2 linked regions of the Medicago truncatula genome follow. Each later gene encodes a partner of the first gene's protein in a complex. Links are inferred from orthologs where the notes say so. Each region holds a gene or a part of one and is shown on either strand. Other genes may lie near its edges.

Region 1 (8,104 bases):
CTTGCTATCCCACCTATAAGAAACCAGAGGAACAAGAAAATGAAAATCACATGAATCATATAAGATCAACTGAGATGGAAACACTAAATTTTTAGTTCCAAGTTTTTTACTACATCAAACACATTCAGTTGTGTCAAAAAACCAGTCACAGTGGTTCAAGGAAAGAAAATAAAACGTTACCTGGAATCCCTATTGCTTGATAACTACTTGTCACAGAAGAGTTGATGCCCAAATGTGCGTCAATAGGAACATTTGAAGAAAGCCCAGGAGTTATTGATGGTACACTTGAAGACATGGGTGCAGCGGAAAATGGTGAACTTTGAGTGGCCATGTGGTTGTTCCCAACAACAGGAAACAAAGGCTGTGAAACTGGGACAGGAGGTGTAGATGAAGGCAGTCCAGGAGGAGTAATCTGAGATTGTAGTGCAGGTGAAGTAGTTGATGGCAATGGAGGCCTCACATTCTGAACAGGAAATAATGGTTGCTGTGGGTATTGAACCGGAGGAGGCATTGAAACAGTTGGAGGCTGGGGAAACCATGGCTGAGGTCGAGGTGGAACAACTCCCCAAGCATTAGGAGGGCCTGGTACAGCAGGATTATATCTGCAGCAGCAGAGAGATAAGTAAATGAGCAGATTTTGTGTCACTGATAATTTTCTAAATAGAAAAATATTCACGAATATATCACTTCTACCACGTTCCAAATAGAATAAGAATTCGAATGAGAAAATCAAAATGAAAAAAATGTTTAACAGCATACATTGGTCGAATTGGGCCCATGGTTGATCGTGGAGGATATCCGGTACCCATAGGAGGTGGCACCATTCCACCTGCAAATGGGGTTGATGGGATGTCCACCTTGGCTGTCTTTGATGGAACATCATCGTCTGCAATACATACAAAACTGTCAGAGAATATTAAACAATTTCTCGTGAAACAAAAAAAAAAAAAAAAAAAAAGGAATTTTAAGTATGATTCAACATTTTTATCATCACTAACAATACTTGTACAAAGCCTTTATCCTAAATAATAAATTGTACAAAAACGCTCCTGACGTCAATAATACCAACAAAACAGAATAATACATAAAACAACAGCCACCATACATGTCAGGTATTCGGTAGAATAGTGTCAGAAAACAAGAGAGATTAGAATTTTTTTTTTTTGAAGAAGCTAAATTAGCCCACCTAAATTAGGATTAGAATTCTTTTATTGAATCAACATAAACTAAATCCCCAGATTAATGATCAATTTCAATGCCTAGTCCTGTTAGGGTTGAACAAAAAACCGAACCCCAACCCAAACCGGAAAAATCGAATGAAAATATGAGCAGACCAGGTCATCTGTTCAGTTTTTCGGTTATGCAAGGGTTAGAATAGGTCGAGTTCGTCTGTTCAAAATAAATCCATGAGAAACTGACCGCTACCATGTTCGCTGTATACATATACTGATTCTTTATTTAAATTACAAGACAGTGATGCGACAAGTCGATACTAATTCAGAGTATTAGTCTTGAGACCCAATCTCATTTTTTTTTTTGAAACAAGACCCAGTCTCATAATAACTGCAACTTGGAAACTGTAAATAAATATGCATTTTTGTCTTTTTTCTTTTATTTAACCCATGTAAAGTTGTAAACTAAGGCAGAACTTGGCCGTGGATATATGCAACTGTGTCGGCACCGACGGCCAAAATCTAAGTAGCCCCCTTCTTCTCCTTCTTGTTCTGCTATCCATTTCATCCCACCCGCTTTCGTTAGAACCCGCCACCCAACCTATCCGCGAAAATAAATGGGCTGAGATTTTCCGGCCGGCGGATTTCTCTAAATGGTGGTTTACCGACTGGATCCAACCGTTTGTCCACCCCCTAACTCCTATATATCTGCTACCGTTTATAATACCCACCCTGCAGATAACTAATTAACTTACTACGGTTAATAAGCAGTTACATTACATCTGTTACAGTTATGCAGGGGCCTCCTTCCCTGCATCCCTACTATTTCTGACACTACAATGGAATCATTAAACAGAGGTAAAAAATCAGATTTGTTTGTACTTGTAGTAGTTATTAAGGTGTCTTGTTTGTACTTGTAGTAGTTATTAAGGTGTCTCGAGTATAAACTATCAATAAGAACTATGAAACAAGGAGAAAAAACAATGAGACAGAGTATAGTGTAACCTTCATCTCCATAATGAGCAGCCAAGACATCTGGCGGAATCCCCTGCATTCCGTATATTTCAATTTCTGTACTCTCTCTTCCAGGTTTCGCATTTGGCACCCTGAAATAATTAAGAGTTCAGTAAAATCTAGTACATTAATATTTTAAGGAGAGCATTCACTCAAACATAATTAAGTTTGTACATCAAGGGTCAGTCAAATGCTTGACTAACAAAGCAAACAACCCCCCTCTTTGTTACTAGGGTCTGCTTTAATTGTCTTATCTGAGCTTATCTACTGGTATAAGCACTTGTAAAACTGCTTAGGAGAGCTTATGAAAATGATTTATGACATGTATCAGCTTTTATCATCTTATTTCCATAAACTCTCTAGTATAGCTTATAAAACCAGCTTATAGCTTATATGAAAATCGTTCTGACATTATTTAATCTTTTGCGATAGAAATAGCTTATAAGTAAGCACTTATAAGATAAACTTTAATGCTATAAGCATTTAATTAAGTTGTTTATCCAAATTGAACCTAAATAGTAAATTGAATTCACACATGAATAGATAATTAGCAATGAATAAATCACACTTGGAAACATTCTTTGAAATGTAACTACAAATCATAGCATAGAATGAGGGAAACTCGTAAGACAGAGATCAAATTACATAAAATAAAATAAAAAAGTGAAATTGAAAACCCTAAAATGATGAAAGAGAAAAGAGAATATACTTGGTGACGTTTTCTTTGTGGACCTGAAGAACGTGAATGGACATGCCACCAGCAGTGGAAAGCTTCTTATGACAAACGTGACACTTAAAGTGCTTGGCTTTCTGATGCTGAACCAAGATCTTCTCGTCATCGAATTCACGATCGCAGTAATAACACCATACCTTTGAAGCAACGCGCTTCTTCTTCCTCCCCATCGAAATTCAGATAAAGATGCCGCTAGGGTTTAGAGATTCCGATTCCGTTCAACCACCCTATGCTGCTACTGCGATGGAGGATGAAGAAGAAGAAGAAGAAGAAGAAGAAGACCTAGGCTAGGGTTCTTAATCGTAACTTTGTTTTTTCTCTTCTTTTATTTTTTACATATAAAAATACCCTTGTGTTTGGGTGGGTCATAATTATGGATTATTATACGCACGTGTGGTTATTTATGTAATTGTGGATAGTCTTGAGGCTGAATAAGAATCTTATATATTTTTATTCGTCCCTAAAAATATAGAATAAGATTTTGATTTTCCCCTAAAAAAAATTGATTTTAATCCCTTAGTTAATGTAATAGACATCGTTTCATTTTTCTCACACTTTTATGATGGTGTTACATAACTCTTATCAATTTCATCTCTTTGGCATCATTCTTTTCGACATCCACCTTTTCAAAATCATCCTCTTTGACATCAAAATATTTGACTTTGTAATTTATCTTTGCATCTTGCTCTCACGTTTTTTGAAATATGATACCAACACATTAAAGTAGTAGATTAAGGGAAGATACTAACAACGTGAGTCATTTTTGTGTGTCATCCTTGTCAATCACAATAACTTTTGACATATTGTTTTTAGACTTCGAAAGATCGAGACAAGTTTGTAGAGCATGAGTGGATTTTTTTTTTTGTACGTCAGAAATCAAAACCAACATAATATGTTAATTAAATTGAGGTTACCTCAGCTATCTCAAATAATTACTTTTATAGCGACTGATTTTATAAGTGGAATCCATTAAGAAAACAATGTGAAAAATACTAAACAAATTAGCAGATACATGATGAGCCCAAAAAATATCATAAATAGTTGTAAACTCACCAAAAGATTTAAACCGGTAAACATAATTGTGATCGACCAAACGTTTCAATAGATATTGCATTTTTAACATTTCAACTCTTATGGACTTTTTATACCTTTGACGTGCATTGTAAACTTACTTTATAAACATTACATAGCTTTTTATTTTATCTTTCAAGTCACTAGGATATTATTTGGTATACCGTACTCCTGCCCATGTCAATGACACTCTCATTTTCTTCCTTGATTAAACTGCCTGCAAGAAGGTGACATTCTTACCTTGTCTCATTGGATGCTTGTGTACTACATTAACAATACTAAATGACATAAATGTAAATTCACTTTTTACTGACTTGTGACTTCACGTTTTAACTTCTTTTTGGTTCCTTGGTACACATCAACCTTTTTACAACCCTGTACTAAATTTCGCACTCTTCATCCACCACCATGATGAAGTTTTTATATAATTAAAGTACATTCGACTATTGATGCTTGACGACAAGTCTAATTAATCAAATTATCTCTAAGTTTATATTTCACTTTGGTAAAAAAAAGGTATTTCACCGTATCAACTTCATTATCAACAAGTTTAGAAACAACGAGCTTAACAATCTTCTCTCTTGTAATCAACATTTGGTTTCACGTCAACGGAAATCTCAACATTTGGTTTGACATCAACAAAAGTCTCAACAATGCGTGGTTTCACATAAATGGAAGTCTCAATAATGTTTGATTTCAAATCAATGAAAACTTTGATGTTGTTTGGATTGTAACTTGAGTGAGAGGGATTTATAGCTCGAATGGTTTGAATCGTAACTCTAAAAGGGAGTGTTATTAGCATTTTGAGGGGCCTAAGAGCAAATAAAGGGGTACTTTGAACCAATTTCTTGATTATATTGAAAGAACTGCGACAATGTTGGGCTTTCAAACTTTTTTCTTTCTTTCAACCTTAAACAACCAGAAATGATGAAGCCCGCATGACCTAGGTTGCTAATGTTTCTATTCAAACCATATGCTAAAATTTGTCACCTTCATTGCCATGTATTTTCTTCTTTTGTGTTAATCCTCTGAATCTCAAGGAGTTCGGCCGATAGATAAGGAAAGTATGGTAAAAAATTGTTTCATTCAAGAATCAAACTTAAGTTCTCTTGAACAATTCGTTCTTAATGGAACTTATTAATTAATTAAGCCAATTGTTTGGTTTTTTCTATGTATTTTTCTATTCACGAGTGATCCAGATACAATTATTTATTTAGAGAATAAAATCATATGAAAAAAAAAGCATATATTTTTTTTTGTAGAAGGAGTATATACTTAACCATTGTAAAAAGAGAAATGCATAATTTGTGATTAAGCAAATAGTCAATTTCCCCCCTGAAATTGTAAGTTTCATCAATTACCCCCCCCCCCTCCGAAATTAACAAAACATCAATCACCCCTCTGAAATTGCATAACGTTAATCAATTTACCCCTCCGTCAAATTTTTCTGTTAACTGTTTACGATTATGATCAAATACCCCCCCTGAAATTTTGCACTTATATGCAAAATGCCCCCTAAACTTAAAAATTTAGAATTTTTTTCTTACCAAAAATCATACATTTAGTTCTTCAAGTAATATATTATACCTAATGTCATAAAAATTCTATTCACAAGAAAATGAATGAATATATGCCAAAGAAATCATGGTTTTGTCATGTGCAGCATTTTCATTCATATTTCATATTTATCAACAAGTCTTGTTTCTTCTTCCTTCTGCAGATATTAACATATGGAGACACAATTATCAAAGACTTGTGTACTTTATGACTACATACTATAACATAATTACCAACTTGTATAAAAAAAAAGTCTTCTATATATGTATATATTTAAAACACATGAGAGTAACATATCTTCCATAAAGATTTATATGACCAATAGCTGCATAAACATACATTCCATACATAGTTATATGATCAATAATTGTTAATTTGTTTGCCTTTAATATCTTTTGAGTCAAGGATAAAAAAAAATATAAATTTTTAAGTTTAGGGGCATTTTGCACATAAGTGCAAAATTTCAGGGGTGTATTTGATCATAACCGTAAACAGTTAACAGAAAAATTTGACGGAGGGGGTAAATTGATTAACGTTATGCAATTTCATGAAGGTAATTGAAGTTTTGTTAATTTCATAAGAGTAATTGATGAAATCTACAATTTCAGAGAAATTGACTATTTACTCATTTGTGATTTCTTTCTTGCTTTGCTGATTACACGCATTCCAATATAGAAGAAGTATAAACTGTTTTTTTGTCATTTTCAATTTTACCTTTAGTTAGTTTTAGAATTAGCATCTTAATTATGATACTTTGGCGGCAGTAATACTCATCAACCAAACCAACAATCCTCTGTTACTACGACCGGCTTCCAAACATGAGTTCCCATGTTTACTGTTAATTGTTATTACACCTAAAGGAGCTGAATCCCATATTAATTCATGGGAAAATTCTACGGTGAAATTATAAGAATAACTTTTTTGGTGAAGTTAACACTATAACATTAAAAGTATTTTGTGAGTGATCCCCACTGTTTGCACAATGACATCAAAAGTTCAATCGTCATAGTATCATCAATTTATCAGATTAACAATAATACACTTAATCTAATTTTTATCCTACCTTGTTTTAAGTGTTGTCCCCACAAAGTGTAACACTTAAGACTATCAAATGATATCAGCAACTTTGTTTCCATGTTAAAGATGTCAACGATAAAATAGTACCGATAAGTCCAAGATATTGCAAGCATTACTAGATGAATTACTATTGATCATTAATCAGTAACCAACAATTTAAAAATGAATCAAACATTAAAATTAAAATTAACTTTTTCAAAAAAGTCAGTTTCATAACTGCATCGTAGAAACTCTCTTCATTCACAAATTGGATCTAGTAATATGCATATCAAACGCATATGTTGACACTAAAGCCATATAAAATAAGTGAACAGAACATGACATTGTACATATAATTCAAGATTGTATTAGTAATTATAATAGTATTATTATACCATGTTTGATTGCAACTACTAGCAACGCACTCTAATAATATTGTTCTGTTTTTAATAGGAGTCCATCTTTGCTCCATTCATCCTATTTACCATCATGGATGTGTGACATGTGGCAAAATAGAAAATCAAGGGTTGAGATTAAAAGGGTTGAAAAAATCATTTGTTTTATCAAAAACAAGCTACGCGCTTCTTCTTCTTCTTTCAATACCAACTGCACTCATGACCCTTCTTCTTCCTCCTCTCACCATATCACTTCCGTGCTTCTTAATTTCGATCAAAGGTGGAGGTTGTTGGTTGGGGGAAAATCTTAAATTATATTACTGTTTCTTTAAATATGAACAAAATTTTAGGATGAAACCTCGTTTTGATTCCTGAAATTATATGTTGATGTTGGGTGAAATTGAGAAATCAACAAAAATGCCACTGAAATTGTAAATTTTAGTCACACGTTATATATTTGTTGTAGCTTTTTTAGTTTTAGTTAACAAATATGGAGATTAATTTTACTTTCATGATTGATTTTTCTGGGATCAATATGATTCTAAGTATTCATCTTTGGATTAGAACAATTTATTAATGATTTACAATTTCGGATTTATTGTTGTATGAACGGAAAGGGCAGTGCCGGCGCCAGCAAGAGGGAGAGAGAAGCACGAGAGTGATGATGGTGAGAGGAGGAAGAAGAAGGGTCATGAGTGCAGTTGGTATGAAAAAGAAGCACGTAGCCTTGTTTTTTATAAAACAATTGCTTTTTTCAACCCTTGGTTTCTATTTTACCACATGTCAGACATCCATAATAGTAAATGTGGTAAATCGAGCAAACTTAAATGGAGCAAAGTTGAACTCCTTTAATAGATAGAAAGAGATATGGAATGCATCATAAAAGATTAAAGACCGTGGTGTAACTTTCGGCAAATTAATGGCCATCATAATCTAATCTAATGGGAGCTTATGAATAATCTAATCTAAATTAAAGTATACATTTATATGCACGGCCATCATAGTTTCACAAATTTAGAATTAAAGGAGGACACTAATTAAATAAAGGTAATTTACATTCTGCCTGCCAAAAGAAAGAAATCATCACTTTCCATAAAGCAATGGGA
Region 2 (7,928 bases), on another chromosome or scaffold:
TTTTCAACCTCACGGGTCATGATGATCATATTGGTGTCCATTACCCGGTTGTGCTCAAGGTTATTGGCATGTGTCTTCTTCTCAAATTCAATAGCACTCCTACATGAATCAGTGAATAAAAGTTAAAACATGCCCAAATCGAAGTTTAAAATGCCCAATGGTAAAGACTGATTTTTTCCCTAGCATCTGACTAGGTGCTCCAAAAATGTAACAAGAAAAAACAGCAGGTATATTTGGGAGGAGCGCATTTACAACATCTAGATGTTCAAATTAAATGTTATTTTGGTTAGAGTTTGATAAGCAACAGAACCAACTGCAGACTTCTATATTAGAAATCAGGGTAAACAAATAGCACAAATAGCATTGAGATATAAATCAGACATGCTTCCACAGACTTAACAAGTCATAACATAAGAATAGTTTTTCACATGAACTGGTCCGTCATTTAAGGGGGTACAATAGTTTTTCAATTTGATAGTATTAAAATAAGACAAAGTGAATAACTTCAACCAGTAATCAGATAAATGAATCAAGACTCGGTCATGATTCTAACAATGTGAATGAAACAAGCAAATTAATTTAGTCTACAGTTTTCATTGGTTTACCTCTCCCTCTAACTATTCAACAAACCTTCATGTGAACTACTCTCTTCTCTAGAATTTAAATAGGTCTTCTCAGAGCGCTCCTTTATTTCATCCAGCTTGAATGGTTTACCTCTCCCATTAATTCCCCATCATTTTGTATGGTTTCTTTCGGTAAGCAAATGAATTCGTTGAGTTTTGAAAAAACTGAGCACAAGTGCCACAGACCAGGGCAAAATAATACAAAAGGGTGCAGCTCAACAGAACACAATCCCCCACAAGCTAAAGTGACAACAAACAATGCAAAACTAGCCAAGTAAAGACACCACTATAAATGTTATAGCCCTACAGACACCAACTATACTGGGATATCAAGTCACACCATTGGTCTACATGGAAAATAAACACGAGAAACACCAGAAGTCATCCCACAGTAGCAAATACTTAAAGTTTTACGTGGCCGAAACCACCTGCAATTCTATGGACCACTCAGATACAACCATCCAGACCACAAAAAACCACCCAGCACTTTAATTTACAGAAAACCCAATCCAAGCAACCCATCTTACAAAACAAATTGAAAAATACCAATGTTATCAAACGCAGATTGCGGAAAATAGTGATTTGTTCAAATTCCGCTAGGCTACAGTGCTATAGTGCCGCTACTTGACACCACTTTGTACAAAATAGAGTATTGAAAAACAATAGCGGTTTGTTCATATTCCAACACGCTATAGCCGCAATTTGACAACACTGAAGAATACAATATATTGGATTCATGCACCAACATGAGAAAGGTAATAAAAGATCCTCAACCTTTACTTTAATACATAACCAGGTCTGGGATTTAATAAGGTTGACAACACTGAAGAATACAAGATATTGGATTCATGCACCAACATGAGAAAGACAATAAAGGATCCTCAACCTTCACTTTAATACATAACCAAGTCTGGGATTTAATAAGGTTTAGTATATTAGTCATAGCAAATTTACCATCATTAAAAATGGTATCATTCCTCATAGCATATTCATGTCACCATCTAGACCAAGATTTTTCCTGAACTATATATAACACGCATAGTTTAGATTAAAGGTGAGTTTGGTGTCCGACACAAGTAGATACATTCAATCACTTCTATTTAATAAAATAATATCATCTCTACAGACTACATGTCAGTGGTGTCGTTTGGTGTTCCTGTTTGTGTTGGTGATTCATAGCTAATTACTAAAATAAAATTAGTTACAAAAATACTTCATTAATCTTGTTTAGTCTTTAGTCTGATGCACCTCAAGAGTGAATTGTCCAAAATTTATACATACTCAAAATCACCAATGTTCATGCTTGATCACGTGAGGGCTACCTTGCCGGTGATGTACCGTGATCAAGGTCTGAGAAAACTGCTTGCGTGGTAAAAGGTGAATGGGTTAGGGTTTGCTTAAGGACCCTGTCATGGCCCTTGATCTCGGATAACTGCAATTGCCACTCACCCCAGTATTATCCGTGATCGTTGCTGCTTGATTGAGCAAACAGCACTTGCTTATGTGCTGGTATGACTTAGTCTCTCCCTGGGACACAAGTCTATGTCGGTATTGATATTATCTATTTCGGTAATGGGCCTGTATACCTCAGCATTGGGCCTATGTATCATGGCTATGTAAGGACCGAGTAAGTTTATAAAGGATATGCCGGTCCAACCAATGTTGACAATAGTGGATTACAAAAAATAGCAGCTCAATCAAATTCTACTACACTAGGGCAACTATAGCCGCTATCTAACAACACTTTGTACTAGATATCATATTGCTAAACAATAGGGATTTGTTCATATTTTGGAACACAATAACCGCTACTTGAGAACTGAAACAAACAAAAACCCAAATACATTCAACAATCAAAATCTAAAAGCTTCAACTTTTGTGCTTCAATTCTTTTTTGAAACTCATTCTTTCTACATGCCACCAATGCGCAAAAAAAAAATTAACAATTGTTCTCACATCACAACACTAACAAAGCAAGTTCTCCCTCACATTCACATTCACATTCGCATATGATTCGATTCAATATCAATTCAAAGCCAATAACAGCACTAACACAACGAAAATTTTACCTTCCTCGTTGAATCTCATGGCGCAAAGCTTCAATATCAACTTTAATAATCGGCAATGGCTTCAAATCTTCCCTTGCCAAAGCAAGCTCACTCTGAACACTCTGCAAATGTTCCACAAGCTCCTTCCTTACCTCCGCAAGTTCCCTTACATCAGCCCTTACCTGATCAAGATCAGACTTCATCGCCGCAACGGCACGTACCTCAGCATCCATCTTAAGCGATTTCTCGTAGATCCGACGGACCTCGGCGTCTCGTTCGGCTTTGACATCGGCGGCAGCGGCGGAGAGCTGACGAAGCTCTTGTTGAGTGGCGGTGAGGTCTTGTTTTAAGGCGAGGTGAGTTGTGGCGAGACGTTGGTTGTCGTGGAGGAGGGTTTGGATTTCGCGGTGGCGGGTGGTGATGCGGTCTTCGAGGGCGGTGGTTGAGGTGGAGGAGGAGGAGGAATGAGAGAGACGTGGCTCGTCGCGGCGGGAGAGAGAAGAGTGAAGATTATGGTGGTGGTGATGTTTGCGTCCTGCCATTTGTAGTTTTACACGGACGGGGAAGAATGGATTAGAGGAGTGACTCTGGTTTCAGGCTTCACTGCTACGGAGAAATTTCGTTATTTCATTCCCTTTCAATTCAAATGGTTTACATAATTTTTCCCGAGTAAATACCAATTACCCTCTCGAAATCGTTACTTTCGTCAATCATTTCTCTCTCGCATTAACAAAACATCAATTACTTTTGAAATTGCACAATTAATCAATTTATCCCTCCGTCAAATTATTCGTTTAGTCAACATAACGTTTTGTAAATACCCTTGAAATTTTGACACTTTGCAAAATGTCTCCGAATTTGAAAATTTATATTTTTTTACTTCTTATACTTCACTCAAGATATTAAAAGTAAATAATTATCATTTAACTTTAATGAAACTGAATAGCTGTTTCTTCTGCACTAATGATTTTCTATTTCATTCTTATGTTTCAATATTATCATGATCTACTTAATAGGCTCAACTTCAGTCCCTTAACATTTACTTACCTACTACTTTTTTTTGTTGCAAAGGCAAAATATACTTATACTATTAAAACCACAGCCAAGCACAATGAGACACAAGATGTGCAAGAATGAAACAAGAAGATAAACAACAACAATGAGACACAAGAAAACTCCCAAAACCCAACAATATGTGAAATGAATTTCTAATTTTGCTGACAAACTAATGCATCTCCAATTTTAATCCAAAGCTAAAGCAAGATTTATGAGACTATTGCTTAATCTAAGAGGTGTATTTATTTACTATTCATTTCATTCTTTCATATCTATGTGATTTCAAAATAGTGGATGATGCCACATGGTAATGAATTATATTGCTAAATGATAATAGTGTATATTGTTACTTGATATAATTTTCACAATCAGATAAGTATTGCAGACTAAAACCATTAGAAATAATTTCATCTAATCATTGGTTAAAAAAATATTATCTATTCTATTTATAAAACAAAACATATCAATTTAAATATGTAGCTAAGCTGAAAAATATATTATACATTTTTTACAAGAATATTTACCACTATGTTAATTGTTTGTCTTTAATATCTTTTGAGTTAAGTATAAGAAAAAAAATCAAGTTCGGGGGGCATTTCGCACATAAGTGCAAAACTTCAGGGGGATATGCAAAACATGATATTGACTAACAGAAGAATTTGACGGATGATGTAAATTGATTAACATTGTACAATTTCATAGGGGTAATTGAAGTTTTGTTAACGTTAGGGTGGTAATTGCCGAAACTTACAATTTGAGGGGATTAATTGCCTAAAACATTATTGGTGATGTTTACAAAATTTTACAGATGCATCATCTGATAATATGTTGTGTTCACGTGAGCTTAGCTCAATTAGCAAGGACAGTGCACAATATATGCAAGATCCGGGGTTCGAACCTTGAACACCACAAAAAAAAAATCCGATAATATGTTGTGACTTTGTTTAACGAGTCAAAAAGACATGACTCGTCATACCTCATCAAATAACGTGACAACATTTGTAAAATTTGAGTACACCGATGATGCATATAAATTAAACCCAACACATTAGCACCTCCCTTGGCGAATAAAAAAAAACACCTCCTTTGTAAAAATAATTTAATAAACATCAATTTATCACCTTTTTGTTAGACGTCTTTTTTAGATCAGGTGTAGTATCGTATGTTTAGGTTTATTATGTCAGGTGTAGTATCATGTGTTTAGGTAGTTGGGGTGGGAGTTAGTTTTACCTTTAGATTTAGCTAATGTTCATAGTTTTATATCCAAATTAGATGTCATGTTTATTATTAGAGTAAATGGTCACTTTGTAACTGACTCTGCACAGATCTCTGACTCAAGATTAAATACAAAGTAATCATTGAATGTGCATTTCTGTTATCACTTTAGTCCCTAACATTAAATAATTCTGTTAACCGATGACGTGACAAATGTTTTATGCTGACATGACATATGATGTATCACAAGAACTAAAGTAAAAGTAGAAAATGGTATGGTAACTTTGGTCCCTGAAATCGAAGATCATATCCCAAATTGAATCTTTAATCTCTAAATCCTGAATTCAATCCTCAAATCCCTAAATCCCCAAATTGCACCAACACTCAACATCATGTAATTCGATTTTGGCGTTTAATGCAAGATTTGATTTTGAACAAAATAGAGAATTGTATGACATTTAGGAATTTGAGATTTAGGAATTTGGGGATTGAATTTAGGATTTAGGGATTTGTGATTCAATTCGAGGATAGTGATACACAAGCATAAATGATTTAATGATTTAATTAATGGTAGAAAAAAGTTAATTAAGTTGTCCGTTGAGAATATTGAGGGCATGTAGTAGTAAAATCTAGGTGTGGGTATTGGGTTATGATGGATGAAATGGTGGATTTCGTGGAAAAGTGAGAAAATAAAAGGTATGTTATGGTTTTCAAGGAAAACAGATGTAGTAACGTTGCATGTGCAGGTTTGCTTTCACATTGAATCAAAGCTAGCTATTTCAGTGAGAGAGGAAGAATAAAAGAGCTTCAAATCTTTCTATTTGTCCTTCTCTGTTGAGGTGGATACAAAAATGTTACCCTTATATCTTAATTATTATGATTCCTTTAACAATTTGCAATCCACTTATTATATATGATCATCTTGAATCTCTGAATTCGTTTTCAAAATTGAGAGACCACTCAATTTTGTTTTGCGAACAAGACTACCTCAACTTGGTTGGTTTCTAAAAAAAAAAAAACTTGGTTAGTTTCTTTTAATTTGATTGAAACTAACTAAGCTAGGTAAGAGTCCATACCCCATGCATTCTAACGAAATTTGACGAAATAAGAAACCACTTACCATACTTGGTAAACATAGGTAAGGTGGTAATAAAGAAAATAGATGAAAGATAAAACTAGCATTTACTCAAATACTAACCGGTCATCTATATGCTTAGTCGTTTTTTTTTTTTGTGCGAGAGAAATGCTTCGTCGATTTCCCCTTTAATTTAAGGAAAATTCTACAATGAAGTCATGAGAATGATTTATCTGGTGAAGTTAACACTATAACATCAAAAGTGTTGTGAGTAACACCCCACTATTTATACAATGACATCAAAAGTTCAGTCCTCATAGTATCATCAATTCATCAGATTAACAAGAATACACTTAATCTAATTTTATCCTACTTTGTTTTAAGTGTAACACCTCACAAAGTGTAACACTTAAGACTATCACATGATATCAGCAACTTTGTTTGCATGTTAAAGATGTCAACAATAAAATAGTATCTATAAGTTCAAGATGCTGCAAGTATTACTAGATGAGTTACTATTAATCATTAATCAGTAATCCACAATTTAAAAATGAATCAAACATTAAAATTAAAATTAACTTTTTTAAAAAAAGTCAGTTTCATGACCGTAGAGCTCCCTTAATTTAATTGTAGTTTTGATCATAATATTTTCATCATTTTACAAATTCAGTCTCCCTATTTAAAAATCTGATAATTTTTTTTGTCCCTTCATCATATTTTTTTAACTAAAAAAATTAATAACGTGGTTTATGATTCGATGATAGGAAGAAAAAAATTGATGACGTTATAAAAAAAAAGTTGTTTAAAAATTTTATTTAAAACATATCATATTATCATATTTTAAACCAAACATTTGATTGAGGAATTAAAACTATCAAATTTCAAAATAGGTGAATAAAATCCTTAAAAGAATATAAGTAAGGGGATCAAAATTGACACAAATCACAAACCAGTTTATCATATTCCACTTCTTCCCTTCAACGTTTGTTCACATCTTTGTCTCTTAAATTTGACACGCTCTACCTATTTTCTGGTATATCCAGATTCCCATCTTTCGGCTACCAAAATATCACATCATTATTTTTCTCTGTTTCAAGTCGTAAGTGTATATACACGCAATATTTTAGTAATTAAATATTTTATATGATAAGACTGAAAAGCTTAAATTTGTTTACTTTTATTAAAAAAATGAGACACTCTGTGGTTTAAATTTACGGTTGATTCTACTATATCTTCTACTAGTTCTCTAATATTATGCATGGGAATATGAACGTACAGTTCGATGCAGCTTTGATGTTGTGATGTTTATTTATTTTTTTATTTGTAACAACTAACAAGTTATGCAATGAAGAAGAAGATGAAACTGGTAGAATCAGAAAACCTCCTGTATGGAGCAGAGACTATATCTTAGGAAGAGAAGCAGAAGAAGAAGAAAGCAGTTTTCAGACTCTGGCTTTTTCAGTAATAGAGAAGATCCTGCTACTTATGAGGAAGCTGCAAAGTTCAATTGTTGGAAAGAGGCTATGGATCAGGAAATTGAAGCCATAGAAAGAAATGATACCAACTGGAAGCAGGAAGATTAGTGTAAAATGGATTTATAAGACAAAATACAATGAAAATGGTAAAGTTGAAAAACACAAAGCCAGATTAGTAGCAAAGGGGTACTCTCAAAAGTATGGAGTTGATTACAATGAAGTTTTTGCTCCTGTAACCAGATGGGACACTAATAGAACTATACTTTGTTTGTTAGGCAAGAAACTGGAGGAAAAATACTTACCGTAAGTTTGTATGTAGATGACTTAATCTACACTTGAAATGATGAAGAAGTGTTTGAAGAGTTCAAACATTCTATGGAAAATAAATTTTCCATGACAGATCTGGGCAAGATGAGGTATTTTCTTGGTGTGGAAG

The links.
Region 2: protein SUPPRESSOR OF FRI 4 (region 1) and protein FLC EXPRESSOR share a complex: the UniProt entries of both Arabidopsis thaliana proteins name them as parts of the transcription activator complex. The link is inferred for Medicago truncatula from reciprocal best matches to the Arabidopsis thaliana genes SUF4 and AT2G30120.

Annotation. Positions count from the first base shown.
Region 1 is NC_053049.1:48,998,079-49,006,182, forward strand, and holds the start of protein SUPPRESSOR OF FRI 4, read right to left. Parts: upstream 3,257-8,104; 5' UTR 3,090-3,256; coding exon 2,896-3,089; intron 2,279-2,895; coding exon 2,178-2,278; intron 887-2,177; coding exon 760-886; intron 603-759; coding exon 181-602; intron 14-180; coding exon 1-13. UniProt on the Arabidopsis thaliana protein: Sequence-specific DNA binding factor that recognizes the 5'-CCAAATTTTAAGTTT-3' sequence. Recruits the FRI-C complex to the FLC promoter. Required for FRI-mediated FLC activation, but has no effect on the expression of MAF1, MAF2, MAF3, MAF5, UFC and CO.
Region 2 is NC_053046.1:32,260,337-32,268,264, reverse strand, and holds the start of protein FLC EXPRESSOR, read right to left. Parts: upstream 3,333-7,928; 5' UTR 3,214-3,332; coding exon 2,693-3,213; intron 100-2,692; coding exon 1-99. UniProt on the Arabidopsis thaliana protein: Transactivator required for FRIGIDA-mediated activation of FLC and for the expression of the repressors of flowering AGL27/MAF1 and AGL31/MAF2. Does not alter expression of known activators of FLC expression.